3 linked regions of the Anolis sagrei genome follow. The protein of the gene in region 2 purifies or fractionates together with the protein of the main gene of each other region. This does not show direct contact. Links are inferred from orthologs where the notes say so. Each region holds a gene or a part of one and is shown on either strand. Other genes may lie near its edges.

The links. The genes of interacting proteins can lie anywhere in the genome.
Region 1: the proteins of ASF1B (region 2) and MCM6 purify together in Homo sapiens (affinity purification with mass spectrometry; 4 studies listed by BioGRID and IntAct, counting the BioPlex papers as one, with this or other methods). This does not show direct contact. The link is inferred for Anolis sagrei from reciprocal best matches to the Homo sapiens genes ASF1B and MCM6.
Region 3: the proteins of ASF1B (region 2) and CDIN1 purify together in Homo sapiens (affinity purification with mass spectrometry; 4 studies listed by BioGRID and IntAct, counting the BioPlex papers as one, with this or other methods). This does not show direct contact. The link is inferred for Anolis sagrei from reciprocal best matches to the Homo sapiens genes ASF1B and CDIN1.

The regions. Positions count from the first base shown.
Region 1 is NC_090021.1:213,783,864-213,793,905, reverse strand, and holds the start of MCM6 (DNA replication licensing factor MCM6), read right to left. Parts: upstream 4,410-10,042; 5' UTR 4,366-4,409; coding exon 4,250-4,365; intron 3,816-4,249; coding exon 3,669-3,815; intron 2,460-3,668; coding exon 2,349-2,459; intron 1,284-2,348; coding exon 1,034-1,283; intron 1-1,033. UniProt on the Homo sapiens protein: Acts as a component of the MCM2-7 complex (MCM complex) which is the replicative helicase essential for 'once per cell cycle' DNA replication initiation and elongation in eukaryotic cells.
Region 2 is NC_090022.1:112,852,289-112,862,527, forward strand, and holds the start of ASF1B (histone chaperone ASF1B), read right to left. Parts: upstream 4,970-10,239; 5' UTR 4,833-4,969; coding exon 4,724-4,832; intron 558-4,723; coding exon 442-557; intron 1-441. UniProt on the Homo sapiens protein: Histone chaperone that facilitates histone deposition and histone exchange and removal during nucleosome assembly and disassembly. Cooperates with chromatin assembly factor 1 (CAF-1) to promote replication-dependent chromatin assembly.
Region 3 is NC_090021.1:293,734,975-293,745,022, reverse strand, and holds the start of CDIN1 (CDAN1-interacting nuclease 1), read left to right. Parts: upstream 1-5,639; 5' UTR 5,640-5,915; coding exon 5,916-6,016; intron 6,017-10,048. UniProt on the Homo sapiens protein: Plays a role in erythroid cell differentiation.

The DNA.
Region 1 (10,042 bases), on a different chromosome or scaffold from region 2:
ATATCTATATTCAATGGGTCAGGTAAAGATTTCTTGTGTGGAAAAAAAATAATAGTGCTCTATCACTTGTGCTAAAAATAGCTCTTTGTTGGCAGTTTTCTTCTTTAAAAGTAGATAAATGTATGTTCTATATCTGTGATCTTATAAATACATGAATATATGATTTGTGTAAGGTACATTTAAAGATTGATTACATTTAAAGATTGATTAATTCCTACAGGTAAAACACCAGGTTGCCTCAACATCTCTCTGGGTAACTATTGATCCCACTGTCCTGTGAGTAATACTGTCTATGTTTACATGGCACACTGTGTGCACAGTCTTTCACATGGTGCTGTAAAAATAGATCAATTTAAACCATGTTCACCACAGAAAATTGCTCTTAATAGCAGAAAAACTCTCACTCTGTCTCAATCTAATTTACTTGAATTAAGCAAACAAAACATTTTCAAGTCTAAAGCAGACTGTTGTTATGGCAGTACGTTACCAAAGCTATCAACACGTATTTTATTTTTAAATGAATGTTTCGCCACTTGCAAAAAAAGAAAATCAAAACCACCAATCAGTAACTTTCATAGTTGAATGGGGATTTTAATTTGAATCTGGGTTTGTTAGATCAGGAAGCCTACAAGATAGTCTTTAGCGGTTTTTGCTGTTTAACATGATTCTAATTGTCTGTTTTTTTCTCAAAATGAGAAAACTCAGCTTGGTATTTGCACTGAACTGAAAACTGTTTTTCAACCCTGAATTCGAATCGTGATGTGCATGGCAAGCACAGAACATGGCTTCTATGGTGGTAAAATAAAATAGCAACCTGTAATTTGCTTCTTACAAAGAATAAGAGGAGACAAAGAGCGACATGTACCGAAGTCTTGGCATTCTTAAAAACTAGTTACTATCACACCAAACAAAGGCTTGCCATTATATCTACTCCATTGCTTCCTGAAAAGCCAACCCAGATGCTACATCACACTTCCACAATAGTAAGTCAACTTCAGAAAAACTAGGTGAAAATGAATTGTTATTCAATTACCTTTTGAAAGTCAACGAATCGTGACTTGTTGGTGTCTAGAAGGAATCGCTTCCTATTGGCACAGACGGGGTTTCTGCAGATGTTGGGCTGTGTGTACTTGAACTGTTGCTCCACATCTTTGATCACTGTTTGGCAATCCAGGCACAGGAAGGTCCCACTTACCAGCTCCGGGTGGACAGGGTGGGTGCGAACCACCTGCCCGCTAATACACATCAGTGAGCCAATGCGAGCCGATGTCATTTCTCGGATTCTGTTGAGAGAATAAAGCCATCTTGAATGTTTTCCTCCACAAGCCAGACACATATATCACATAGTGATTACAAGCTCCACTACAACCTATTGCTTCCTACAGACAGTTATGTTTGGCAAGTATAATTTTTCTTTAGCTATGAATGAGAAGGTATCTTCTGTGCTTACATTGGTGGATAATATTATTTGTAAGTGCATCTACAAAAAAAGAAAAGAAATAAATAATGCAGTATGACACCACTTGAACTGCCCTGACTCAGTGCTATAGAGTCCTGAGAGTTGTAGTTTTATATGATTTTTTTCTCTGCCAAAGATTGTCTCAGGAAACTACAACTCCCATGGTTCCATTGCATTGCACTGTGGCAGTTACAGTGGTGTCAAATTGTACTAATTTTACAGTGTAGATGCCCCTGATGACACCTACAAAATTTTGCTCTGTGATGGTTCCAATGTTCCAAAGAACATGAGTTGTTGACTTTCATTTATATTCTCACTCACATACACAGTAACGAGAAAACATTTATGAACCTTATATGGTCGTCACATATTTTCAGTTTAAAATGTTATATGATCTTAACCTAACCCTAAAATACTAGGCAAAGAATATATAAAGATAAAGGTAAAAGTTTCCCCTTGACGTTAAGTCTAGTCGAGTCCAAATCTGGGGGGTGGTACTCATCTCCATTTCTAAGCAGAAGAGCCAGCATTGTCCATAAAAAAAGAAATTATGCCCCCAAAGTTTCGTGAGGTGGCATCACTCCTTTTGAATTAACCATGCCACCATAAAAGAGGAGCTAATATACAGGAGGATACATAAGAGATAAGATGTACAAAAAACAAACAAAAAAACCCTCAGCACTCATGAAAATTAATAAACAAGAGAGAGGCTATACAAAAAAACCTCACACATAGCTAAAGCAATAGGACAATCTGCTCTGGTGCCCTATATGTTCAGAGGCCTTGAACTGTGATCCAGCATTCACAATGGATCTTCTTGCCAAGCTGAATACTTTTATCTTCCCAATAGAAACCACACTTCATGCTCACTATCTTCAGAGATGCTTACTTGTGCCTAGAAGGCAGGTCTTGAAAAGCCACATAGAAGTCCTTGTTGGGAGGGACATTTCCGTGGTCTCTGGCAAATGTCCTTACAGCTCGACATAAGTAAGGATAGACTCTGAAACGAAAGCAAGATTTTAGTGATACAAACTTTTCTGGCTTTAGACTTAAGAATTTCTTCAAAAGGCATCAAAGTGCATGGGAGTGTACCTTATTAGCAAAGTTTAAATGAGCAAGCCAACAAATGTATTTGACTTCAAAAGAACTGTGGTGGGACTGTGGCACAGCTGGCTGGGAGTCAGCTGCATTAAGATCACTACTGACCAAAAGGTCATGAGTCTGAAGCCAGCCCGAGTCGGAGTGAGCTTCCAACAAATTTTGTAGGTTGCTGTCAACCTTTGCAGCCTGAAATACAGTTGCATCTGTCAAGTAGGAAATTTAGGTACCGCTTATGCGGGAGGCTAATTTACGACTCCATGCAAAGCATGCAAAGAATGAGGAAGTACTTCATCAGTGTCACAAATGGACCCTGAAGCAACAGCTCCCGTGGTGGCCAGAATACCCTCATGAAAAAAGCTGGAATGTTATATAGCCTCTGTGTGTCTGTCTATATATGTTGTGTGTCTATGGCATTGAATGTTTGCCATGTATATCCGCCCAGAGTCCCCTGCGGGGTGAGAAGGGCAGAATATAAATACTGCAAGTAAATAACGAGATAAATAAATAAATAGTTTATATCTTATTTTTACATCATGTTTTTGGAACAAAATGTGCTGAAATCAAAGTTTTTTTGTTGTTTTTTTAAAATCCTGATTAGTTGACATTTCACTTATCAGAATAAAAAAAATCTCATAAAGTTGCTTTAAGGAAGCAAAAAATATTAAAAGGGATTTTTTTCATTGCCAAAATATGTCCTCTATAGGAAATGCTTTAGGTGATTCTGTTTTTTTTTTTTTTTTGCCACAGTCTCACTTGATACTTGTGGCCCTTCCATACAGCCATATATATATATCAAGCCAGAAAGTCCCACAATATCTGCTTTGAATTGGGTTATCTGAGTCTACACTGCCATATATTCCTGTTCAAAGCGGAAAATGTGTGATTTTATTCAGCTGTGTGGAAGGGGCCTCTGTCCTCCAGCATGACTCTATGGCAACATCCAACAGAAGTAGTTCATTTCAGTAGTGTTTGCTTTTTCCCATGAGAAGTCCAGTAACGTATCTCCCACAGATACAAACCTATTACTAACTTCAAGTTCCTTAACACCTTGGATAAAGTTAGTGATAACACAAAAAGCAGGTCAATAAAGAAGTTGGGACAGTCTCACCTGTAGAACTCCTCCTGGATGGTGGTCGCAAGCTGCTGATTAGCCTGCTCCAGGTCCTGAAAGCTTACAATTAATGTGTTTCTCTCTGGGCGGATCAACTCCTCGGCATCTCTCAAGTATTTAACTCCGCCATCACTGTCCTGGAACCTGAAAAAGGCAGTGTTTCAGGGAAGAGCTTTGCAAAAACATTTTCAAGATGTAATGCAAGTATAGAAGAAAAAACAACAAAGCATTAATGGGGGAAACTGATCCATTCAGACAACTGAGGCAGCTCTAATGCTTAATGAATGCTAGCAAACTAGCATAGACTAGGGGTGCCTCTACCCCAGGCCTGGGCAAACTTGGGCCTTCCAGGTGTTTTGGACTTCCACTCCCACCATTCCTAACAGCCTCAGGCCCCTTCCTTTCCCCCCTCAGCCGCTTAAGCGGCTGAGGGGGGAAAGGAAAGGGCCTGAGGCTGTTAGGAATGGTGGGAGTGGAAGTCCAAAACACCTGGAAGGCCCAAGTTGGCCCAAACCTGGGGTAGAGGCACTGGAGGACTGCAGCTCCCAGGATCCCCAAACCAGGGAGGGCCCACTCACTCCTCGAGGAAGTCCTGGAAGAGCTTCTGGCACTTCTCGGCCACCTCATCGCGGATCTGCTTGAGCGCCGCGTTGCCCGCCGCCGCACCAGCCTCTCCTGCAGCCGCCAAGTCCATCACGCCAATACCAGGAGAATGGAAGGGATTTCGCGCCACCAACCCGCGCCGCGCCCAATCAGAAGCCTCCGCGCCTGGTGCCCCGCCCCTTTCGAATGTTACGCCGGCAACTTTTTCGCGCCAAACCAGAGGAAACAGGAAGCGGAGAGAAGAGGGGTGGCTGTGGACGTTCTTCTTAAAGGGGCCTCCCCAAAGCCGGAGGACAAGAATTGGAGACGGTGGGGGAATGGTGCTGTCTTCACGGGCGCCTTTTACCTCTCCTCCAATTGATCTACATTGCTGCTTTCGAACTGCTAGCTTCTGGTTGACCAAAAAAGGCAGATTAAAACCCTTGACTTAATCCTCCTGGCCTGTTATGCCTCAAATGTGTAGCATTTTTATTTTATTTTATCTGAAGATGCTTGCCATAGATGCAGGCGAAACGTCAGGAGAGGATGCTTCTAGAACATGGCCACATAGCCCGAAAAACCTATAACAACCCATATTTATTTATTTACAGTAGGTAAAGGTTTCCCCTGACATGGAAGTCCAGTCGTGTCCAACTCTGGGGTGTGGTGCTCATCTCCATTTCTAAGCCGAAGAGCTAGCGTTGTCCATAGACACCTCCAAGGTCATGTGGCCAGCATGACTGCATGGAGCACTGTTACCTTCCTGCCAGAGTGGTATCTATTCATCTACTCACATTTGCATGTTTTCAAACTGCTAGGTTGGCAGGAGCTGGGGCTAATAGCGGAAGCTCACGCCGCTCCCGGGTTTGAACCTGTGACCTTTCAGTCAACAAGCTCAGCAGCTCAGCTCTTTAACCCACTGCGCCACCGGGGGCTCCTGCCCTTTTCACCCCGCAGGGACTCAGGGCGGATCGCAATGCACATATACATGGCAAACATTCAATGCCATAGACACACAACATATTTATTATTTGGTTTACTTCTACCCCGCCCTTCTGACCCCGAAGGGGTGACAGACGCACAGAGGCTATTTAACTTTCCAGCTCCATCAGGGTATGCTTCGAATTCCGGCTATCAGGGGAGTTGTCGCTTCACTGTCTACTTGTGACACCGATGGAGTACTTCCTTATTCATTTGCATGCTGCTGGAGATTTTTTATGGCATCGTAAATTAGTTAAACTACCCTCCCCGCATAAGCGGCACCTAAACTTCCTACTTGAAAGATGCAAATGTCTTTCAGTCTGCAAAGGTCAACAGCAAGCTAGACAAATGGTCAGGAGCTTACTTCTACCCGGGCTGGTCTTGACCTCATGACCAGTAGTGATTTTAATGTAGCTGACTCCCAACCAGCTGCGCCACAACCTGATCCATAAAGAGGGTTGTGCAAATTATGGAGTAGCTTCATTTTGCTTTCAGTAGGAACCTTTAAGTTGGACCATATTTTTGGCTGCAATCCCCATTTGGCTGAACAATATAAAATTATGACAACATCAGATCGCAGTGCAGATATTATCATTTCATATCTGGCTACAGGGAAATGCTTCTGTAGTTTTCCAATGTCAATGCTGCCAAAAAAAAAAAAAAAGCTTGCCAATTAAAGACAAGGAAAAATGTGGCCAGGTTGCCTTCCTCCATAAAAAGATCTTCATTGTTAATTATTTTTGTTAACTAAGATATAACAAAAATCTTTAACTATGATGGTCTTTTTTATGGGCGAGGGCAACCTGGCCCCCTTTTTCCTTATCTTTAATTTTCAAGATTTTTTTTGCAGCACTGACATTGGAAAACTACAGAAGCATTTCCCTGTAGCCAGGTGTGAAATGATATCACCACTGCAATCTGATGTTGTCATAACTGTATATTGTTTCACCAAATGGGGATTGCAGCCAATAATATGGTCCAACTTAAAGGTTCCTACTGAAAGGACCACCCTTCTTGAACCATTTGTACAGGCTGTCTATCACCTTTGCAAGAGTTGGTATAAGTAACAAAGATATTGCTTTGTAGAATTTGTCCCTTCTGTGTGACAAAGTAATAGACACAAGACAAGAATTTTGCGATAACATTATTTTGTTCTGCATCATGACTTTCCAAAAAGCCTTTCAGCATAAAAGTCAATGACTTTATTGGGATGAAGCATTCAGAAATAAAAAAAAGATTATTATCCAGCGATATTACCAGCTCTGTATGGGGAAAGGTAATTGAATTTGATTGATTCCAGTTGGATTAGCTGAACAAACCATTCTTCCTGGAAACTGAATTTAAGAGAAATAAATCTGTGGTAATCAGCTGCTTATAATCCACTTAGTAAACCTAAACACAACTAAGAACAAGAGTAATTCTATTTTTTTCTGGGATTATGTCAAGGTTTAGTATTCACAGCTGGTCTGTTGGCTAAGCTGATTTCTTAAGCACGTGGTTTTTCAGACCTTAATTTCTACACTTTTGTTTCCTTCCACCTTTATTTCAAGGTATAATAAAACTGTAACAGAGTTCTGTCACAAAATATTAAATAGCATTTGATCAGATAGCTCTTCCGAAGTCTCTACAATTTGCACACACCAGCTCTTGCCTCAGGATTTTTAATTAACAGCAGTGGCCACTGAAAATCAGAATGACATGGCTCTAAACATACAGCCACCTATTGTCACATTTTGTATCAAGGCCTCATGTCTCAGGAAATACCTACTATTTAGGACAGGCAATAAAAAGAATATGCATAATTTCTCTGTGAAATAAAATAGAGTGACAGCGTAGAGCAGTGGCTAGAGGTGGACTATGACTCTGGAGACCAGAATTTTAATTCTCATATCACAATAGGATGTGTGGATTGGGAAGCCAGTCTATTTTAGATGTTTAACTTATTATATATTAAATATAATTTTATACATCTCCTTCTCTCTCTCTCTCTCTCTGAATTAATGTGATTCCGTCACACCTTGCCAGCATTTACCACACAACTTGGCTAGTATATATTGGGGTCCAGAGTATATAGAGAGGGGTCTAAAAGCTAAACGATTAGGATGGGTGAAAGTAGCCAAAGAGCTGGACTTGTAGGGTCAGACTGTGGAGGTTGCTTGTTAGAGTAAAAATAATCTACTTTGTTGAACATAAATGAAATATGCTTTTGTTGTAAAAGATCCCAAGAATGGTTTTTTCCTAAAATATTAACAGATGGGCACGGAAATGGGGATTTTAATAGGAGAAAGAAAGGAGATCAAATGAGAGCAAAGTCAGCTCAGTCATTGTGTAAGTTATTCACTATATAATATCATATGTTCATACTAGCTAGGACAAGCTTCCTAGATAAATGAACATATAATGACATTTTAAAGAGTGGCATCAGTATGTAATGATGTTTTTCAAGGTACCAGGAGCTTGCTGCAAGGATATTAATCTGAAATATAACCGAAATCAACAAAGGATGGGCAGGAAAGTCCAAGTGGGGTAAATAAGGAAACCCACAGTAATACATGTCTAGGCCTAAATAAGTTAATAGCAGTTGTGTATAGGGTTGCATTTTTTTAAAAGAACCCATTGTTGTAGATCAGCCAGGGACTGATGATTTAGAGGGGATTGTTAGCTTTCTTGTGGCACAAAGTGATAGGCCCTCAAGTCTGGGAAATGATGGTTCTCTTTGTGAGGAAACTGGCTCGGAAAGTGCAGGGCCACAAAGCCAGTCAGGAGAGCCAGAAGTAGCATCAGTAGATAAGGAACTGAGTGAAGAGCTGAATGATAAGGAGGGTTTCCAGGAGAAACCACCTGTAGCTATGGGGATCAACAAAAGTTTTTGTTTACAAATCAGAGCCAAAAATAGATTGTGTCGTTCAGAGAGATTACATGGGAAAGTTGTAGAGAAAATTTACAGGGGATGTGACACTTTTATGGGTGTCTATTAAACAAGTTGTTTACCTTAAGGGCAGTTCAGGCAACACTGCGTTAGAGTGAGAAGCTAAGCCTGACTTCCCTGGTTCAAGTTAACTCTTGGTTTTGGATTTAATATATCCTGGAAGTTTTCTATGTTCCTGTTCATGTACTCCTGTGCAAGTTTTTACTAGCTATACCTTCTTGCTTGTGGACTTCACACTGTACCTGTGATTACTGGCTGTTCCTGGACTTTGTCACCTCTGGAACTGTATGAGACATTTGGATTATTGTTTGGTTATCACCTGTTGCTAAACCTTTTGGGATTATATATCTTCCTTTCTTATTCCTGCTTTTTATATGCTTTTATGTGTTTTACAATAAACTGTTTGCTTATATTCCTGGACTTTTGTGTGGCGCGGTGGTCATAGGTGTTTCCATGCCTGGAGTGCAACACACGTGTATTTCAAACTATTTTCATACTTTAGCTTTTTGAAGTTCTTCTGTGGGGCACATGAGCTCTTTTCTCCAAATTGACAAAATGAAAGCTTTAGGAAAATGTCAGGGATAGAATCATGTACTTGAGCATTCAAGCTTTGAGTTACAGCATATTGCTGTCTTCTTTTAATCTATCAGTTTATTTTATTTTTTCAGCATTTATAGAGCTATATAAATTTAAACTAATTTTGCCCACCTGCCCCATTACAAAGTAATAATAACAAAACTAATAATAAAATATTAAAATAGACTTCCCACTTCCCACACAATGAAAAAAAAAGTTACAATCCTGTCAATCTATCATTTTAGACACTTTCTTCATTCTACCTTATTTTTTCAATCTTCAAAACTCCCCTTTTTCTTTATGAATAATAGAAATGTTCCCACTCTTTTAAAAAGACATCAGCTGACTTCTCCTTAATTGAGCAAGATAACTTGTTCATTTCTGCTGGTTCTGTAATATGCGCTACTTCATGGTTTTTGTTCATTTGTTTGGAAGCCCCAGTAAAAATAATGTTGGATCTAATTGTAATCTGATTTTAAATATCTCTTGTTGCCAATTTTGTATCCATCTCCAATATTCTTTTGCTTTGTCCCACGCTCACTCACCATATACGATAGTTATATTGCTTTCTAATGAAGCCAACCAAGCAAAAAATATGATCACTTTAGTAATATATGGAACTATAGAAACCTAATTGAATTATTCTTAGTCACATTTATATCCCCCTCCTCTTTTGAGAAGGCCAAATAGCACAACTGAGGTATAATTTGATTTTACCTTCATCAGCCCTGCATCAGTAAGGCTGGTCACTCAAGTGATACAAAAAGCTGAATGACTGAGTCAAGATTACATTCATTATATCCTTCATAAGGTAAATCACTACTGCTGCAAACAACTTGTGGGTTTGCTAATTTAGATATAAGTAAACAGTTTGAATTTGAGGCATAGAAAAGGTACTAGATAAATGAGAATCTCTGCATGACCTACAGTGTTGAAAAATGAGACACACAGAATAGGTAGTTAAGAAGTTTTATTGCTACCTGCATTTCAGTTAATCCACATTTAATCAGTTAATCCACTATTTTCCAGTTGCTCCTCAAAATAATTACTCATTTCCAAATTTACTCATACCTGATCATCTCTTACATTTGAAACATGCTTTTCTGTCAAGTGTCTAAAAACAAATTTAACCTTACTCTGTAAAATATGAACTTTATTACAATTTAAATTTTTAGAAACTTGCTAACGTATAAGATGACAAATAGGAGTTTTAGTTTGACCAAGTGCATATTCTGAAAAAGATGCAACATTTTTAGATCATAGTTCAGTTATTTTAAAATGGTTAACTGTAAATATTAGTAAT
Region 2 (10,239 bases):
ATAATAGGCTAATATTTCAGGATATAATGCCAGCAGTATGGTAGATTGGGTCAATGTCCCTAAAAGGCAAAAGATCTTGTCTGATCTTGAAAACTAAGCAAGAGCAGCCCTGGTTACAACTTGGATGGGAGACTGTCTTTGAACACCAGGTGCTGTAAGCCGTATTTCAGAAGAAGGAACTAGAAGAACACCTTGAGTCTTCCCAGTATAAGAAAAAATGTGGAGTTGCCCTAAGCTGACATGTGACTTGAATCACATATACACACAAAAGTGAAAATAATTGTAGTGAACCTATTGGCTTCCATGTTTTTAGATTCCCGTTACCATTATTCCTGATCACTGGCCACACAGCCTTAGTCTGTTCCCTTATTCTCCTCTCTTCCCACCATCCACTCTTTTGGACTTTCCTCTCCTTTCTCCAAAATATAGTTGATAGCTTACTTCAAACAAAAACATATGTCTCCCAGCTGGAACAGGTCCCACCAACACTGAGTCAAGAACTTGGTCATATTCCTCACTCTCTGCAGAACCCACATAGATGATCTTCCACTCCAAGTCTGAAAGATAAAAATGTAGTCAGCAGAACCGTAGGTACTATAATCTTCGATCTCTGTGGGAAACATATTTATCCCCATCCTCAGAAGGCAATACACTAAGGAAAAATTGAGTTAATGTCAGTGTTTGAAGAACTATATATACACATGCTTGCAGAATGTTCAAGAGCTAGGCCGAGGATGTAAGAATAAGCAACTGTCAGCTCTTCTAATTTCCGATGCGTTGTAACTTCTGGTAGACATAATTGCATTTCACCAAGCCTGGGCAGGGAGAGGAAAGTCCCCTTCAACAGATGCAACTATCATAGAGTAGCTGAGTTAATTAACAATCAATTTTGTGAAACCCATTTTCTTTAGGGAAGTTGGACACAAGGAGAGCTGTCTGAGAGTTTACTGCAAAAGCGAGACAAACTCTAATTGACCCATGTCCATCACATCACCAAGACTCTTTTCCTAATCCTTAGAGCACTTTTGGAGCCTTTAAAGGAGTGTTTCCATTTTTTAAATGTGGACAAACATCAAATAAATATGCATGTGAAGCTCTCAGATTTTTTTAAAAAAAGAACTCCAGGCAAGTTGCCTGAAGCATGGAGGAGGAACAAGACTGACAGTTAACCCTGAGTTCAGCTAGAACAAGTATACATCTATCATGCAAATTACAAAGCGGGAGGAAGCCCGGATCTCAACAGGGGTAAAGAATCTGCTGCAGTTTCTCTTTAAATATTATGCCTGCCTTCAGCCTTTATGGATCATCTCATTAGGCAAAAGTCAGGAAACACTGTGTGCAATCTGCTATAATAGACCACCGGTGTAGCAGTGAAGGTTAATGCTTCTCACATGTGATACTGCTAGTTACAAGAATGTATGTACAGTATATCTAAACATCAGGGGTCACAAGTAGGCAAAATGAAGCGTATCATGTTTTAACACCAAAAACAAGGGGAGTCAAAAGGGACACTGGAGAAAAGGAAGAATGACGAAAAGTAACAAAGAAACGTAGCAACCTGAATGGAATCTCAACTTTGCAATATGTGTTTGTTTTCAAGAATGTTTACAGACATGTTGTATTTTTGTTTTAGAGCATAGACAACAGTACCAAGGCACCCTAAACATGGCACCATTTATAAATTGCTCACCATTTATGAATATTTAGGAAAAGGACCTGGACTATCCTGAAAGGGGTCAGCCCAGATCTTTCTACTACAACACTGATAATAATAATGATCCCCCCCTACTATCCCTGCTCAGTCTGCCCCAGCTTCCAAGACCAGATAAAAGACCAAAATAGTCAAAAGCCCTAAATGAATTCTAGTCTACCTCCCAGAATTCTGGATTTTAATATGACTTGTGGGGATCATTCCATGAGGGGGAGAAAGCAGCAATGCTACTTCAGGGGGGCATACTGGCATGTCCTTGTCCAGGCATCCAAAAAGGCCAGAAGCAGCACCATGTCAAGAGGGAGTGGAGGGGGTTGCTGCTGCTTTTAGGTCGGACTAAATTCATGCCTTTTGCCACTTTACCACTGAGAGAGGAGAAGGGTTCTTATTTTAAAATAAGAGTTAAGGTCCAATACTCACACTGACCAGTGATAAGCTGGCCCAGTTTTTTATATAGGGTATGCTAGAGAACAGAAGTTCAGAAGGAATTTGATTTTCAATTTCTCTGTCCAGATTCAAATTCAAACCCTTTCAAATTATGTAGGCCGCTATAAGTATTTTTAAAAAGAAAATCCACGTATTGAAAATGGGCAGATTTATTTTCATTTCAATTCCACTGAATACAACTTACCCCAAGCGCAAGTATATTAGGGCTCACATATAATATATATCATGAAATGGCCAGTGTTGGTGAAAAACATATGCAATAATAAGGATGTTAGTATTTGAGGTACCAAATGACTTTTATTGCTAATGCACCTACCCCTCCGGAAATAGCAAAAATTGAAGAAACCAAATGTGCACAGTGAGAAGCCAAGTACTATTAAAAACTGCAATAGTCCCTCCTATTTTAAAGAATGATCATTGTTGACGTGTTTGTGTTGTTTTGGGCACTGAATGTTTGCCTTTTTTTCTGTGTGTGTAAACTGCCCTGAGTCCCTTCAAGGAGAGAAGGTGGTCTTGAAATAAAGTTTTATTATTATATATGGTCAACATTCACCACTTTTACCAGTTAACAAAACCTCTCTTGTTATAATAACAGCGAACACAGCTGCTGTTTATAAGGAGAGAAGGGCATTTAACATGTTCTCTGCAAAGATGCAGCATGGCCAAGGGCAGAGTATAGGTATTCTACTCAACACTAGTCAACGTGGTGGCCTATACACCAATGCCAGTCCCTGGTGAGCTTCCAGGAATGAAACAACTGTAGCCAGTGATCATTAATATGATACCATTCCCTGGCACATTTTGAGTCAGAAACTACCAGTTAATCACATCAGCTGATCGGGTGTGAATTATTAGCAATTTTCTCATCAAATGTGCCAGGGAATGGTACCATATTCTGCCACTTTGTGTCTCATTAAGAGAGTTATAGCCTTCTTTGGACAGAGTGGCTGGCTTCATGGGTGTAGATTCCAGATTACTTCCTTTTCACTTTTTCTCCCCTAAATGGGTGCACATGGTCCTCTCCTTCATTTTTATCCTTACAACTACCATGTCCTGTGTGCTATGTCCTGTGTGCTTTTCCACTTGTTTGTTTATGTGACCCCAGGCATATGGGTGTATAAAATAGGTATAAAAATGAAACATTTACAGATAACAAGTCAACATTTGCAGGGTTTGCTAAACAAGCTAATTTCCCTTTTTTGTGGAGTACAAGCTGAGACATTTTCTGCAGAGTCCACTGTAAACACTGCTTGTTGTTGCTAACAGATTTTTGTAAATGGGTGGTTTTCAGAAAACTCTTACCATGGCCAATTTTTTGTGACTCCAGCATTGAGCAAAGGGGACTCCATTTAGGGCTGGGAGCAACAGTTTATGTGGCACTGAGCTATACTAAAGAGCCACCTTCTGTTCAGTCTCTGGGCCAAGCCCCTGGTGGCACAATGGTGTGCCAACAGGACTGCTGACCGCAAGGTTGGCAGTTCAAATCTGGGGAGCGGGATGAGCTCCTATCAGCTGCAACTTCTCATGCAAGAAGCCACCCACAGGATTGTAAAACCTGGTTGTGCAGGCCTGAACTACATCATTAGGAAAATGTGATTAATATGAAGACATTGGTTATTATGTTTTTAATGGGGTGAATGTAAAAAGAGGGGGAAATGTATAGTATATGTCTGTATAACTGTATTTTCTCTTCTCAAATAAAATTTTTTGAAAAATAAATGCTTTTTATTGTATCTTGTGAATTGTTATGGCATCAAATTGCTGCCAATTTGTAAGCCATTTTGAGTTGCCTTCGGGCTTGAGAAAGGTGGGATAGAAATATCGTAAATAAATAAATAACAAATAAAAGCTCTAGGTGTCCCCTGGGCAATGTCCTTGCAGGTGGCCAATTGCATTTTCTCAAGGAAAAAAAGATGTATTTGGGCCCTATCACGCTACACAGTGATAAGGAGATTCTTCCACTTTAACTGCAATGGCAGCATCCTATGTAATCATGGGATTTGCAGTTTAATGAGGGGCATTGGGAATTCTCAGCCAGAGAGCTCTTGGGCCTCACTAGACTACAAACCCCAGGATCCTATAAGATGCCATGGCAATTAATAATAGTGCTATAACAATGCAGTGTGGCAGCAGGGCCTTTCCCCTTGCAGAAACTTCTCTATGCTACGCCACCCCACCTTCGTAGGAGGCCTTTTGGGGCCTGCAGGGTGGTTCTGGATGTGTGCACGCGCCTTCATCCTACCACTCAAGGCAGGCCTCATCCACACTAACCATTTAATGCAGTTCCAAACTGCAGCGGCCAAACAACAAACTCCCACAAAAAGAGCGCGAAAAAAAGCCCTTGATGTGCTCCAGTGCTCTGTGGTCACCATCTGGGCCTCAAACTGAACCCAGGAGTAACCACTTTCTTCCATACTGGTTCGAAACTGAATTTAAATCGTCAATGTAGACGGGGCCTGAGTGCCGAGCTCGTGGTTTTCTCAGCAAGAGGCAGTTTGGCAAAGTCTTAGCGGGGAGAGAGGGGGGGGGGAGGGCAGGGCGGTTGGCGGGGCTGGGGGCACTCACCGTGGGGCAGCGCCTCTCCGCACTCGAACTGCACCTGGAAGCGGAGCGGGTGGCCGAAGGGGCTCGGGTTCTCCAGCAGCGACACTCCCAGGACCGACACCCGCGCCATCGCAGCAGCAGCAGCACCCACAGCCGCCTTGCTCCTTCCTTTCCTTCTCGGAGCTCCAACCGCTGCCTTGCCGCCCTCGCCCCCGCCAACCACTCACACACATACTCCGCGCGCCACCGGCTGAGTGACAGATAGACCCCGCCGCCAATCCCCGCAAGGCACTCCGACCGCCTCCGCCAATCGGCTTGCTTCGCGCCTGAGTTCATCCGCCTACTCTTCCCGCGGGGCCACGCCCACTCTTCCCTCCACCAATCCGCCGCCTGGGTTTTGTCCCTGGCGGGAGCTAAACCTAAACAATCAACGCTTGCGCCCTCCTCCCTCCTTGTCCTCTCCGCGCGCCAGTCAGTCTCCGGCCGCCCAACCGCCAATCAGCGCGCGCTCTGCCGCCTCCTTCCGCGCGCCCGAAGAAGCGGCAGCCAATGGAAAGCGGACTAGAGGGCCAGCGGGTTCCACGTCATCGCCAGGCCCTTCTGTTAACAGGAGAAACCCGATAGCCTTGCCAAAGGCAAAGGGAGCAGGGGAGTTTGGGCTCCCAGCAGTTCATCTGGCGCTCGGTTTCCGTTCGCCAAGGGATAAAAGATATCACAGAATGGGTGAAAGAGCGTTCTCAGACTGGGTACATCTATACTGTAGAATTAACGCAGTTGGACTCCACTTTAACCTCTATGGCTCAGTGCTATGAAACCACGGGGTTTGTGCTTTGGTGAGGCCCCAACATTTTGGATGAGAATGATATATGTGAGTGTGTGTGTTTTAATCTATGTATTTTCATGTTCATTTGTTTTTGAATTTATTGAGGCAGATAAATAATAATAATTATTATTATTATTTGAAACACAACAAGATGAGTCCACAGCAGACAAGATCACTCTGCTGGCTGTTGAATTGGATCACACGGACACTTTCCAAGTGTCTAGGACTGTGTGATGTATCGGCAAATAATGCGTGCAAGTCCCAGTAAGGTGGCCTTCTGCAGCTGGAAGATGGTAATTTTGTCAGTGCCGATTGTGTTTAAGTGCAGGCCAAGGTCTTTAGGCACTGCACTCAATGTGCTGATCACCACTGGGACCACCTTGACTGGCTTATGCCAGAGTCTTTGCAGTTTGATCTTTAAATCCTCATATCGTTCAGCTTTTCCAGTTGTTTCTCTTCAATCCTGCTGTCACTGGGATTGCAACATCAACAATCGACACTTTGTTTTTTAACACAATCGTGAAGTCAGGAGTATTGTGCTCCAAAACTGTCTGTCTGAATTCGGAAGTCCCAGAGGAGTTTGACGTGTTCATTCTCTGTAACTTTTTCCGGCTTGTGATCCCACCAGTTCTTTGTCACAGGCAGATGGTATTTGTGGCACAAGTTCCAAGGAATCACCTGAGCAATGGTGTTATGCCTCTGCTTGTAGTCTGTCTGTGCGATCTTCTTGCAGCAGCTGAGGATGTGATCTGTTGTTTCATCTGCTTCCTTGCAGAGTCTACATTTGGGCTCTGTTGTCGACTTTTCAATTCCGGCTTTGATGGCATTGGTTCGAATGGCTTGTTCTTGGACTGCCAGAATCAGGCCCTCCATCTCCTTTTTCAAAGTTCCACTTGTGAGCCACATGTTTTTTCTTTGTCAAATTATTACTATTATTATTGTTATTATATACCTTATAAAACTTGAATTCCCACGATTCCATAGTATTAAGCCATGGCAGTGAAGGCAGTATACTGAGCACCCTTGGGCACACTATGTCCCAAACTGGACTTCCAGATGTTTTGGATTTCAGCTCCCAGAATTGGCCAAACAGGCTGGGGCTTCTGGGAGCTGAGATCTGACTGAAGGTGAATGCTTCAGAACCATTGGCTTGGCAGAAGCTGCAAGATCACATAAGGAGATTTGGTTTCATATAAGTAAAGGGTAAAGGTTTCCCCTGACATTAAATCTAGTCGTGTCCGACCCTGGGGGGTAGTGCTCATCTCCATTTCTAAGCCGAAAAGCCGGTGTTGTCCATAGGTCATGTGGCCAGCATGACTGTATATAAATACTTGCATTGCCTAAATGTCAGTGGGGCTATTGCTCCCCTTCTTCATCCCTTCTTTTTCTTTCCTCCCCTCATCTCATACTTTCCCACTTTCCTTTCTCTTCCTTCCCTTCTTTTTCTTTCTATTTCCCTCCTTTCCACTCATACACAGGCCGCCTTCACTTAGCAACAGTTATTTCAGTGACATCGCAGAGGACAATTCACCTAGCAACAGCCTTTGTGGTACAAATAAACAAACATGCATATATGCATTGACTTTTATACATATAGATGTAGATACTATCCATATCTACAACAGAAGGAGCTAGTGTGATATCGTGGTTTGAGTTGGGGTAGGATTCAGTAAGAAGAGGCTGAAAGGGTGAAAATCCCGGTTCACTCATGGGGCACATCTACACTGAGCATTTAATGCAGTTCCAAGGCACCTTGAGAGTGTTGTGTTTAAATGATGTATGCCTCAAAGATGCGCAGAAATGTGCATTAAGGGCTCTAAACAGGAATAAACAAAGCTGGGGATACTCCGAACTGGAGCTCTTAATGCAAAGCAGCACATGGGAAAACCGTTTAAGGGGCAGGCACTCCACATGTGTCTTGGGGTGCTGGGAAACAAAAACACCTGTTTCCCCCCACTGCTGTGAAGCTGCAGATCCTCAAACCAGGTCAAAGCCAGCCTCTGCAATACGTATAGGCAATGTCCAGGCCTCAACCCAGTTCCAAGACTTCACATGTAATCACATTGAACTTGCTTCTTCCTCTGCTGATTCCACAATTTTGGATTTCAGTGTCTGGGATTTTGAAGGGATGTGCAACCTGTCATGGAGGGAAACCTTTGACTAGTTGGAGGAGCCCTGCAACTATTTATCATATCAGAAACAAATTGAGACTACAGTTATCATGTATAAAAAAACACAAAGTTAAAAACTTGGCATTATGTTAAATTTCCTTTAACCAGAAGCTGACCACTTAAGTGCCTCTTTTGTCGCTGTAAGAAGGTCGTCCGTTGTGCATGTAGAGGACCTTCTCCATTCTTGCATGCCGTGGACTCCACTTTTTGTAGCTCCGTTTCTTAAGGTTGGCTCTGCATCTTGTGGTGCCAGAGCACAGCTTGTCACCCAGCCTTCTGTGTGTCCAGGAGGGAGTTTCTCATCTGGTATCAGCCACTGATTTGAGGTTCTGGGTTTTAGCCTACCACTTTTGGACTCTAGTTTGCTGAGGTGTTCCTGTGAGTATCTTTAGATCTTAGGAAGCTGTTTCTTGATTTAAGTCATTGGCATGCTGGCTGATATCTAAACAGGATGGGCCTTCAGCCCTGTAACTGAAGGTTCATCACTTCTGTGGGAGAGCCAACAGTTCATTTTCAGAGATGGATGAGAAGGTTACAGTTCTGTTGGTCAGATTGTTTTTAAAAGCAATCAGATTTCCTTTTAAAGAAATACAAAACTAAAGCCAACCTTTTAAACTGCAGTGTGGCTGTGGGCTACAGGTGCACAGGAATGTCACAATTCTTGCTTTACTGATAAACCTAATGTTAAATAATTGGTTGGGCATATATTGTTTGTGCATTCTACATAAAATTTGGTTGAATTTCAGGATTGTTTGGAAGGTCTTTAGACTTGATTCAGAAGAAATGTGGTCTGTGAAAAGAAAGCATGTTGCTGTAGAATGAAATACATTGTTGTGTGCCTTCAAGTATTTTCTGGCTAATGGCAACCGTAAGGCAACCCTATCATGGGGTTTTCTCTGTAAGATTTATTCAGAGGGAGGTTACCTTTGCCTTTCTCTGAGCATGACAGAATATGACATGCCGAAAGTCACCTAGCTGCAAAGTGAGGATTCAAATACCTATCTCCAGAGTTGTAGACCAAAGCTCCAGTCACTACTCCAGATGGGCTCTAAACATGACCAGCATTGAATTTAATTGGTTTGTGCTCTCCTGAACATGCAGCAGTAGCACACACAGGTATCCCTGTATTGTGGATTCCAATTCAGAAGTGTGGACTGGTATCAAAGGCAGCAAGGCATTGCCTCATAAACCTTTGAAGGATGAGCTTCATCCAATTTCATATTCAAATCAACTTGAAAATATTGCCGCTTCACCTTTGATGACATCTGCTCCTCATCATGAGATGAGATGTCCCTGAACAGGTCATGCTGGCTTTTAAAAATTTCTAACCAATGTTTGTACAAGCTACACTTGTGTTTCTTCTTGTGAGCATGCATTATACTGTGATAAACCTCTCCTAGAATGTTAGATTAGATGCAGATCAGGGTGAGGAATATGTGGCCTTCCAGTGGTTGTTCAACTGCAGTTTCCATCATTCTTCATTATATGGGGGATAAACATGTTCATATAGAGATGAGATTGGAAAGTCCTTGATGCCTGAAAACTGAGCATGTCTAAGCCCATTAATTTCAATGGGTTAGAACATGAAGATTTTCATGAGATTCAGCCCTGAAGGATTAAAGACTGTTTAATAAGATCAGTAGCTTGTTCTAAACTTGTGTTCAAGTATTCAGTGATTTACTTCTAATCTGCTACGATGGTGTGACTTTGCCAGTTACTTAAATCTCATATTCTACCCTCAATTAGGATAAGTTCAAGACTGATTCTAGACATCTCTATCAACTAAAAGGCTATTGATGAGAAAAGGAATTAATTGTTTGGCATGTCATACTTCAGTGAGGTATTTGTTGCCTTCTGCCCTTTGCTCCCACATCTTAGTGTAGGGATTTGAGAATGAAAGGTACAGATCAGGTCTTTGTTCTTGGATGAAATTGACCATTTGGATTCATCGCAGTCTGGCTTCAGACCAGGTCATGGAACTGAGACAGCCATGGTCACCTTAGAGGATGATCTCCGTAGAGAGCTTGACAGAGAGTATGCCCCTGTTGGTTCTCCTGGGGTTGCCCTTTGATACAGTAGACCATGGTATCTTTCTGAGTTGCCTCGCAGGGATGGGTCTAGGGGGGAAATGTTCTGCAGTGGCTCCGGTCCTTCCTGGAGGGAAGCCATTGTCCTGTGGTGTCCCGCAGGGCTCGGTATTATCCCCCATGCTGTTTAACATCTACATGAAGCCGTTGGGCGAGATCATCCAGAGTTTTGGAGTCCGGTGCCATCTGTACACAGATGACGTCCAACTCGTATTACTCACTTCCACCAGATGCTAAGGAGGTGGCCCAAGTCCTGATTGGCCACTGTGACAGTCTTGATGAGGGTGAGCAAATTGAAGTTGAATCGAGACCAGACATAGATCCTCCTGGTCAGTCACAAGGCTGAACAGAGTATATGGTTACAGCCTGTGCTGGATGGGGTTACGCTTCCCTTGAAGGTGCAGATGTGCAGCTTGGGACTCCTGGACTCATCCCAGGTTTTGGCAGTGGCCAGGG
Region 3 (10,048 bases), on a different chromosome or scaffold from region 2:
ATCCCAGAACGGCTTCCGCCCCTCCAGAGGAACTGTGGACATGATCTTCACTGCACGACAGCTCCAAGAAAAATGCAGGGAACAAAACCAACCTCTGTACATGGCATTCATCGACCTTGCAAAGGCATTCGACACAGTGAATCGCAGCGCTCTCTGGACCATCCTCCAAAAAATCGGGTGCCGAAGCAAATTTGTGAACATCCTGCGGCTCCTCCACGATGACATGATGGCAACAGTCTTGGACAGCAATGGCTCCCAAAGTGACCCATTTAAGGTGGAATCAGGTGTCAAACAGGGATGTGTTATTGCCCCAACTTTATTCTCCATCTTCATCGCCATGATACTACACCTTGTTGATGGGAAGCTTCCCACCGGAGTGGAAATCATCTATCGGACAGACGGCAAGCTATTTAACCTCAGCAGACTGAAAGCCAAAACCAAGGTCACAACAACATCTGTTATAGAACTCCAGTATGCTGATGACAATGTCGTCTGTGCGCATACAGAAGAAGATCTACAAGCCACTCTCAACACCTTTGCAGAAGCATACACAAAGCTTGGCCTGTCACTGAACATCGAGAAAACCAAAGTGCTGTTCCAGCAGTCACCAGCCGCCCCCTCTCCAATGCCAGAGATACAGCTTAATGGTGTAACATTAGAAAATGTCGACCATTTCCGCTACCTTGGCAGCCACCTCTCCACCAAAGTCAACATCGACGCCGAAATACAACACCGCCTGAGCTCTGCAAGTGCAGCATTTTCCCGAATGAAGCAGAGAGTGTTTGAGGACCGGGACATCCGTAGGGATACTAAGGTGCTTGTCTATAAAGCTATTGTCCTCCCAACCCTGCTATATGCCTGTGAGACGTGGACTGTCTACAGACGTCACATGCAGCTCCTGGAACAATTCCATCAGCGCTGCCTCCGGAAAATCCTGCAAATCTCCTGGGAAGACAAGCGGACAAACGTCAGCGTGCTGGAGGAAGCAAAGACCACCAGCATTGAAGCAATGGTCCTCCAACATCAACTCCGCTGGACAGGCCACGTTGTCCGGATGCCTGACCACCGTCTCCCAAAGCAGTTGCTCTACTCCGAACTCAAGAACGGAAAACGGAATGTTGGTGGACAGGAAAAGAGATTTAAAGATGGGCTCAAAGCCAACCTTAAAAACTCTGGCATAGACACTGAGAACTGGGAGGCCCTGGCCCTTGAGCGCTCCAGCTGGAGGTCAGCTGTGACCAGCAGTGCTGCAGAATTCGAGGAGGCACGAGTGGAGGGTGAAAGAGAGAAACGTGCCAGGAGGAAGGCGCGTCAAGCCAACCCCGACCGGGACCGCCTTCCACCTGGAAACCAATGCCCTCACTGCGGAAGAAGATGCAGAGCAAGAATAGGGCTCCACAGCCACATGCGGACCCACAAGGAAACCCATGATGGAAGACCATCTTACTCGTCCAACGAGGGATCGCCTAAATACTCTCCCATAAAATAACTTGTTTTATATCATGCGCTCAACAGACAAAAATGAAGTAGACTTGGATAAAAAATAGCTTATTTGGTATACTCACAACCTTCATGTGTTCAGCATACACACGTACAAAACTTATCAATCCACCTTCAGATATGCTTGAGATAATTCTATGTGCCACCTGGCCAGGACATCTCTTACAGCAAAATAGCAAACAAGTGTGTGATCTGAGGTCTGAAGTAGTCTGTAATCAACTATAGTATGCATGGGCAAACTTTCTAACTTGGGGACCTTGTGGCAGGCTAGAGTGGGGTGGGCAGGGCAGGAAGGAGGGGGCTTGGAGGCAGAAAGTGAAGGAAAGACAGGAAACATTTGGATCCCAAAAGGGTTGGTACTGGTCAGGATGAGATGGTGGATGGGCGAGAAAAAGTGTATCTGGCGGGAACGAGAGACAGGACCTTCTCTGTGGTGGCCCCCTGGCTGTGGAACTCCCTGCCCCCTTCACATCGGCCCCCTTCCTCCTAACCTTTCAAAAAAAAAAAAAACTGAAAACTTGGCTCTTCAAGCAAGCTTTTGGAGCTTCAGCTTAATTAGATAAACTTGAATTGGAAAACGACCTAGGAATGGCTAAGACGACGGAACAAATGAGGACGGAGCATGATGACATAGTTTAAACATTTTTATTGTTCAATGTTTTGATGTTTTTAGATACATTGTAATGTGATGTTTTAATTTTATTGATGTATGTATTTTATATATGACAGCGAATTGTGCCGATTGTTCGCCGCCCTGAGTCGCCCTTGGGTTGATATGGGTGGGGTAAAAATGATGTAAATAAAATAAATATCTATTAGACCCCGTATTGCCTATTCATGATATAGAATCACAGAAGCCTAGAATTGGAAGAGACCGCCAAGGGCCATCCAGTCTAACCCCCTGCCCATGCCGGAAGACACATCAAAGAACTCCCAATAGACTTATGCGGAAAAGCTTCCAGAGAAGAAGATTCCACCACACTCTGAGGCAGCCTATGCCACTCTCCAGGAAGTTCTTCCTAATCTTTTCAGGCGAATTTCTTTCCCTGCCATTTGAACCCTTTGCTCCCTTGTGTCCTGGTCTCTAGACAGCAACAGAAAATTAGTTTTCCCCTCCTCCTCTTCCTTAATGGTTCGCAGATTATCTGTTGCTCTCTACCTTCTCCCAGCTAAACATCCCCCAGAAAGAAAGGAGAAAGGAAAAAGAGAAAAAAAAAGGAGGAAGAGAAGGATGGAAGGAAGGATGGGTGGAAGGGAATGGAGGGAGAGAGGAGGTGGAGAGGAGTAAGGAAAGACAAATGGGAATGAAGGAAAGCAGGAAGAAGAAAGAGGGAGAGAGGGAAGGAGGGAGGAAAGAGAGAAGGAAGGACAAAAGGGTGGAAAGAAGGAAAGGAGGGAGGAAAGGGAAGGAAGGACGAAAGGGTGGAAGGGAATGGAGGGAGAAAGAGGGAGGGAAGGCAGAGAGGAAGAAAGGAGAAGGAAGGGAGGGAGGGAGGGAGGGAGGAAAGAAGGAAAGAAGGAAAGAGAAGGAAGGAATGACAAAAGGGTGGAAGGGAATGGAAAGAGAAAGAGGAAAGGGAGAGAGGGAGGAAAGAGAAGACAAAAAGGAAGGAAAGAGAAAGGGTGGAAGTGAATGAAGGATGGAAAGAGGAAGAGGGATGTAAGGGAGGGCAGGAAGGAGAGAAGGAAAGAAGGATAGGATGGTGAGAGAGAGGAAGCCCTGGGAAGAGTCCAAGGGGCTGCTTCTGCTAACCAGGGCTAGGTTTGCCCATTCCTGTGCTATAGTGATCATTTGGTCTGCAGCCCCTTTTGTAACTTCTCGTGAACTATAGAGTAAAAAAAGGAATCTGCATACCAGAACATATATACAGGAAGCAATAAGCAACAGGATCATAGCTAAACATTGCTCGAGAAGACTTGAAGAAGGTTGTAATTTCTAACAAAGCCATGGATGGTTGAATCTGTGGGTGTAAAATCTGTGGATATAGAAGATTGGCTGCATTTTCCAGCTCAAGTTCCTCTGCATTGTTTCCATCCTCCGTCACTTTCTTTGCAATCATGATGATTCTTTAAAAAAAACACACAGTTAAGGAGCCCCCGGTGGCACAGTGGGTAAACCACTGAGCTGTTGAACTTGCTAACCGAAAGGTTGCAGGTTCAAATCCAAGGAGTGGCATGAGTTTCCACTGTTAGCCCCAGCTGCCAACTTAGCAGTTCAAAAACATGCAAATGTGAGTAGATCAATAGGTACCGTTCTAGCGGAAAGGTAATGGCGCTCCATGCAGTCATGCCAACCACATGATCTTGGAGGTGTCTACAGACAACACCGGCTCTTTGGCTTAGAAATGGAGATGAGCACACCACCCTACCCCAAGAGTCGGACATGACGAGACTTAATGTCAGGGGAAAACCTTTACTTTTACCTTTAAGAAGTAGAGAGAAGGCAAAGGGGGTCTGGGAAAACATAACAACAATTTGCTCAAAAGGAACTCTTTGGGATGACTTCCGAGTACTTCTGCACTGTAGAATTAATTAATTGCTGGACTGAGGCGCAGCTAGTTAGTAGCCAGCTGCATTAAATCACTACTGACCATTAAATCACTACTGCAACTGTCTTCCGGGCTGCATAGGTCAACAGCAAACTAGACTATTAATGGTCAGGAGCTTACTCTAACCTGGGCTGGTTTCAAAATCATGACCAAAGCCAGCCCCGGTTGGAGTAAGCCCCTGACTATTAAGAGTCTAGTTTGCTGTTGACCTATGCAGCCTGAAAGACAGTTGCATCTGTCAAGTACGAAATTTAGGTCCGCTTTATGCAGGGAGGCTAATTTAACTAATTTACGACACCATAAAACCTTCCAGCAGTGTGAAGAAGAATGAGGAAGTACTCCATCAAAGGACTCGGTGTCACAAGCGGGTGCTGAAGCGGCAGCTCCCTCTGTGGCCGGAATCGAGCATACCCTCATGAAGCCGGAAAAGCTGGAATGTTAAGTGCCTCTGTGTCTGTCTATATATGTTGGCATTGAATGTTTGCATTGGTATCTGCCCTGAGTCCCCTGCAGGGTGAGAAGGGCGGAATATAAATACTTTAAATAAATAAATAAATAAAGCACCTTGATGCCACTTTGCCACAGCGCAGCACTAATTCTGGCCTTCTCTGCCAAAGAGTGTTTGCTGGTGCCTCACCAAACAACTCCCAGGACTTCAGTGGGTGTAGATCAGGCATGGTCAAACTTGGGCCTTCTAGGTATTTTGGACTTCAACTCCCACCATTCCTAACAACGTCAGGCCTCTTCCTCCCCCCCCCCCCATGCCTGGCTGTTATGAATGGTGGGAGTTGCAGTCCAAAATACCTGGAAGGCCCAAGTTTGACCATGCATGGCTACGGGGAATGGTGGGAGTCTCAGTCCAAAATACCGGGAAGGCCCAAGTTAGCCCATGCTTGGCTGTTGGGAATGGTGGGAGTTGCAGTCCAAAATACCTGGAAGGCCCAAGTTGTCCCATGCCTGGCTGTTAGGAATGGTGGGAGTTGCAGTCCAAAACACCTGGAAGGCCCAAGTTGGCCCATGCCTGGTTGTTGGGAATGGTGGGAGTTGCAGTCCAAAACACCTGGAAAGCCCAAGTTGGCCCATGCCTGGCTGTTAGGAATGGTGGGAGTTGCAGTCCAAAACACCTGGAAGGCCCAAGTTGGCCCATGCCTGGCTGTTGGGAATGGTGGGAGTTGCAGTCCAAAACACCTGGAAGGCCCAAGTTGGCCCATGCTTGGCTGTTGGGAACGGTGGGAGTTGCAGTCCAAAACACCTGGAAGGCCCAAGTTGGCTTGGCTGTTGGGAACGGTGGGAGTTGCAGTCCAAAACACCTGGAAGGCCCAAGTTGGCCCATGCTTGGCTGTTGGGAACGGTGGGAGTTGCAGTTCAAAACACCTGGAAGGCCCAAGTTGGCCCATGCCTGGCTGTTAGGAATGGTGGGAGTTGCAGTCCAACTGGAGAAAGAGAAACTGGAGCTGGGACAGTCCCGTAGCAAGAGGGGAGGAGGACACTTTGGGTTGCTGAAGGAAGCGAGGCGAAAAGCCCGCCCCCGCCATTCCTTTCCATTCATTCCAGTTGAGAGAGACTTTTCCCGCCCAAAGCGTCGCTTTCGTTTCCTCCGCGACGGCGAAGGCGGAGCCGCCGAGCAGCGCATGAGCGGCGCTGGTTTCTGCCCTTCTGCGGGCGGGAAGCCGAGAGCCAAGGCCCTTTTTCGAAACAGGCATGTCTTGGCTGCCTAGGCTTTGCCCCGCTCCTTAGGCCGAGCCATCGAGGGCTGTATGCCGGGAAGCAAGCAGCGGGGGAAGGGAAGAAAGTAGTCCTTGTCTGCCCTTTGGTGCTTCCCTGTGTGCTGCGCTCTGCTTGTGGGAGGCAGGCAGGCAGGCAGGCATGCCGCTGAGCAAAGCCCAGTACGGAGAGGTGGCCCTCTTCCTGGCCCAGGTGGCCCCCACCAGGCAGAGCCTGAAGCAGCTGAAGGCCCGCTTCCCCAGGTGAGTGGGCCGCGGTGGTGGCTCCGCCCCTTTCTGCTCCCCGCCCCCTTTCTCGCTCTCCCTCCTTCCTTCCAGGAAGAGGCCCAGACAGCTGCTTTCGAGGGTGGAGGGGGCCTGCTTTGGTGTGTCTGGCTATCACGAAGTGAGTGCAATTCAAGGCCTAGGATGCAGAAGAGACGGCGAATAGGACAAGGAAAGGGGTGCATCTGCACAGTAGAATCCATGCAGTTGGACTCCACTTTGAACTGCCTGGGATTTGTAGTTTGGTGGGGCACAAGCATTCTTCGGCAAGGATCTTGTAAAACTACAACTTCAAGGGAGGAGGGAGGGGAGCACAGTGGTATTTATTTTATTTATCGTGTCATCAGCAACCAGACCATTGTGTTACATTTCTAACAGAAAAAAACAAACAAACAGATTAAAAAAAAACAAAACAAAAAAACCCCAAAAACACCAAATTTTGCAAACTTGGTAGTTGGTTAAATGTCCTTTGACCAGTATCTGGCCACTTGGAGTGCCTCTGGTGTTGCTGCAAGAAGGTCCTCCATCATGCACGTGGCAGGGCTCAGGTTGCATTACAGCAGGTGGTCAGTGGTTTGCTCTTCTCCACACTTGCATGTCATGGATTCAACTTTGTAGCCCCATTTCTTGAGATTGGCTCTGCATCTCGTGATGCCAGAGCGTAGTATGTTCAGCGCCTTCCAAGTCGCCCAATCCTCTGTGTGCCCAGGGGGGAGTCTCTCATCTGGTATCACCCACGGATTGAGGTGCTGGGTTTGGGCCTGCCACTTTTGGACTCTCGCTTGCTGAGGTGTTCCAGCGTGTGTCTCTGTAGATCTAAGAAAACTATGTCTTGATTTAAGTCGTTGACGTGCTGGCTGATACCCAAACAAGAGATGAGCTGGAGATGTCACTGCCTTGGTCCTTTCACTATTGGCTGCTACTTCCCGGCGGATGTCAGGTGGTGCAATACCGGCTAAGCAGTGCAATTTCTCCAGTGGTGTAGGGCGCAGACACCCTGTGGTAATGCGGCATGTCTCATTAAGAGTCACATCCACTGTGTGTTCCACACTGGGCATGTGTACTCAGCAGCAGAGTAGCATAGCGCAAGGGCAAATGTCTTCACTGTGTATGGTTGTGATCCCCAGTTTGTGCTAGTCAGCTTTCGTATGTTTTGTTTCTAGCGCCCACTTTTTGCTTAATGTTCAGACAGTGCTTCTTGTGGTGAGAGATAGATAATACGTATAAGCATAAAAATAACCAGTAGATGCCAAAAGTTAAATTATGGTAGGCTGTATTGAATACTATGTATCTGCTGTAAAATAAACAATGCATAACAAAGAAACCCCCACAACTTCAAGGATCTTGTAAAACTACAACTTCCACAGGCAGCTAAAGCTATTATATAACATATAATAAATCTAGAATAAATATAATGTAAAGTATGGGGAGCCCCCGGTGGCGCAGTGGGTTAAAACGCTGAGCTGCTGAGCTTGTAGACCGAAAGGTCATAGGTTCGAATCCAGGGAGCAGCGTGAGCTTCCGCTATCAGCCCCAGTTTCTGCGAACCTAGCAGTTCGAAAACATGCAAATGTGAGTAGATCAATAGGTACTGCTCCAGCAGGAAGGTAATGGCACTCCATGCAGTCATGCCGACCACATGACCTTGGAGATGTCTACGGACAACCTTTACCTAATATAAAGTATAATACTAATAGTATAATATACTTGTAGTGTACTTGTAGTGTACTTATAATATACTTGTAGTATATAATATACTACCGGTAATAGTATGATAGCTGGGTCTGGAAGCTCCGATCATTACTGAGATGCCACATCACTCCTTCGAGAGCGCTGTTTGCGCAAGAGAGACTCAGCTAATGTAAGCCAGGCTGGAGACAGATAATATAGAAGGAATGTAAGAGTTCTTTAATGGTGAAACCCTAACCTTGAACTGTACCATAAGCCTAAACCCTTACCCTAAACCAGAGATCCTCAAACTAAGGCCCGAGGGCCGGATACGGCCCTCCAAAGTCATTTACGCGGCCCTTGCTCAGGGTCAACCTAAGTCTGAAACGACTTGAAAGCACACAACAACAACAATCCTATATCATGAGCCAAAAGCAGGCCACACTTCCCATACGGCCCTCCAAGGTCATTTACCCAGCCCTCAGTCAGGGTCAACCTAAATCTGAAATGATTTGAAAGCACACAACAACAACAATCCTATCTCATCAGCCAAAAGCAGGCCCACACTTCCTACTGAAATACTAATAAGTTTATATTTGTTAAAATTGTTCTTCATTTTAATTATTGTATTGTTTTTAATTGTTACTGTACTACAAATAAGATATTTGCAGTGTGCATAGGAATTAGTTCTTTTTTCCCCCCAAATTATAATCTGGCCCTCCAACAGTTTGAGGGACTGTGACCTGGCCCTCTGTTTAAAAAGTTTGAGGACCCCTGGTATAGACAATACACAGACAGACAGAACAGAACAGAACAGAAGGAGGTGGTTTGTTTCAGCTGTTTTTGGTGCCACAGAAGGTTGGGCTTGAGTCCAGGGGGTGCTATTGCTTTATCCTGATTGACGAAGAGCCGTCAGGACTTCCTCCTTCCTTTTGGTCACCCAGCATTTTCTGATCTTCTTTCTTTATGGTGTCGTACAACACCTCCTCCACTTTTAGTGGTACCTAATTTCTCTAATCACAGCTAAAGCTGTTTTTGACTTGCTTAGGTAAACAATGAGCTATGCTAACAGTTGGCAGCTTACGCCAACTCGGGGCTTCAAACTTGCAACCTTTTGGTGATCTATCTTATAATTGCTGATGATTTACCAGCTGTGCTAAACCTCCAGCCCAGGATGTTGTAAAACTACAGCTTCCATAGGCAGCTAAAGCTAATAGTATAATACGAATAGTATAATATACTGGTAGTGTGTTATACTACTGTAACAGTCTGATAGCTGGGTCCGAAAGCTCCGAGCATTACAGAGATGCCGCATCGCTCCTTCATAGAATCATATAGCTGGAAGAGACCTCGTGGGCCATCCAGTCCAACCCCATGCCAAGAAGCAGGAAAATTGCCTTCGAAGTACCCCCAACAGATGGTCATCAAGCCTCTGTTTAAAAGCTTCCAAAGAAAAAGCCTCTACCACACTCCGGGGCAGAGAGTTCCACTGCTGAACAGCTCTCACAGTTAGGAAGTTCTTCCTAATGTTCAGATGGAATCTTCTTTCTTGTAGTTTGAAGCCATTGTTCTGCGTCCTAGTCTCCAGGGCAGCAGAAAACAAGCTTGCTCCCTCCTCCCCATGACTTCCTCTCACATATTTATACATGGCTACCATGTCTCCTCTCAGCCTTCTCTTCTTCAGGCTAACATGCCCTCTCTTTAAGCCACTCCTCATAGGGCTTGTTCTCCAGACCCTTGATCATTTTCGTTGCCCTCCTCTGGACACATTCCAGCTTGTCAATATCTCTCTTCATTTGTGGTGCTCAGAATTGGACACAATATTCCAAGTGTGGTCTATCCAAGGCAGAATAGAGGGGTAGTGTGACCTCCCTCGATCTAGACACTATGCTCCTATTGATACAGGCCAAAATCCCATTGGCTTTTTTTGCTGCTGCGTCACATTGTTGGCTCATGTTTAACTTGCTGTCCACAAGGACCCCAAGATCTTTTTCACACGTACTGTTCTCGAGCCATGCGTCTCCATTCTGTTTCTTTGCATTTCATTTTTCTGCCTAAATGGAGTATCTTGCATTGTCTTGTAAAACTACAACTTCAAGGATCTTGTAAAACTACAACTTCCATAGCCAGGAAAGCTAATAGTATAATACTAATAGTATAATATACTGGTAGTGTGTTAATACTACCGGTAATAGTATGATAGCTGGGTCTGGAAGCTCCGAGCATTATGGAGATGCCACATAGCTCCTAAGCGAGACTACTGTAATACAATATAATAATTTATAATAATAGTATTGTAATATAATAATACTAATATATTAAATATAATACTACTGATAATAT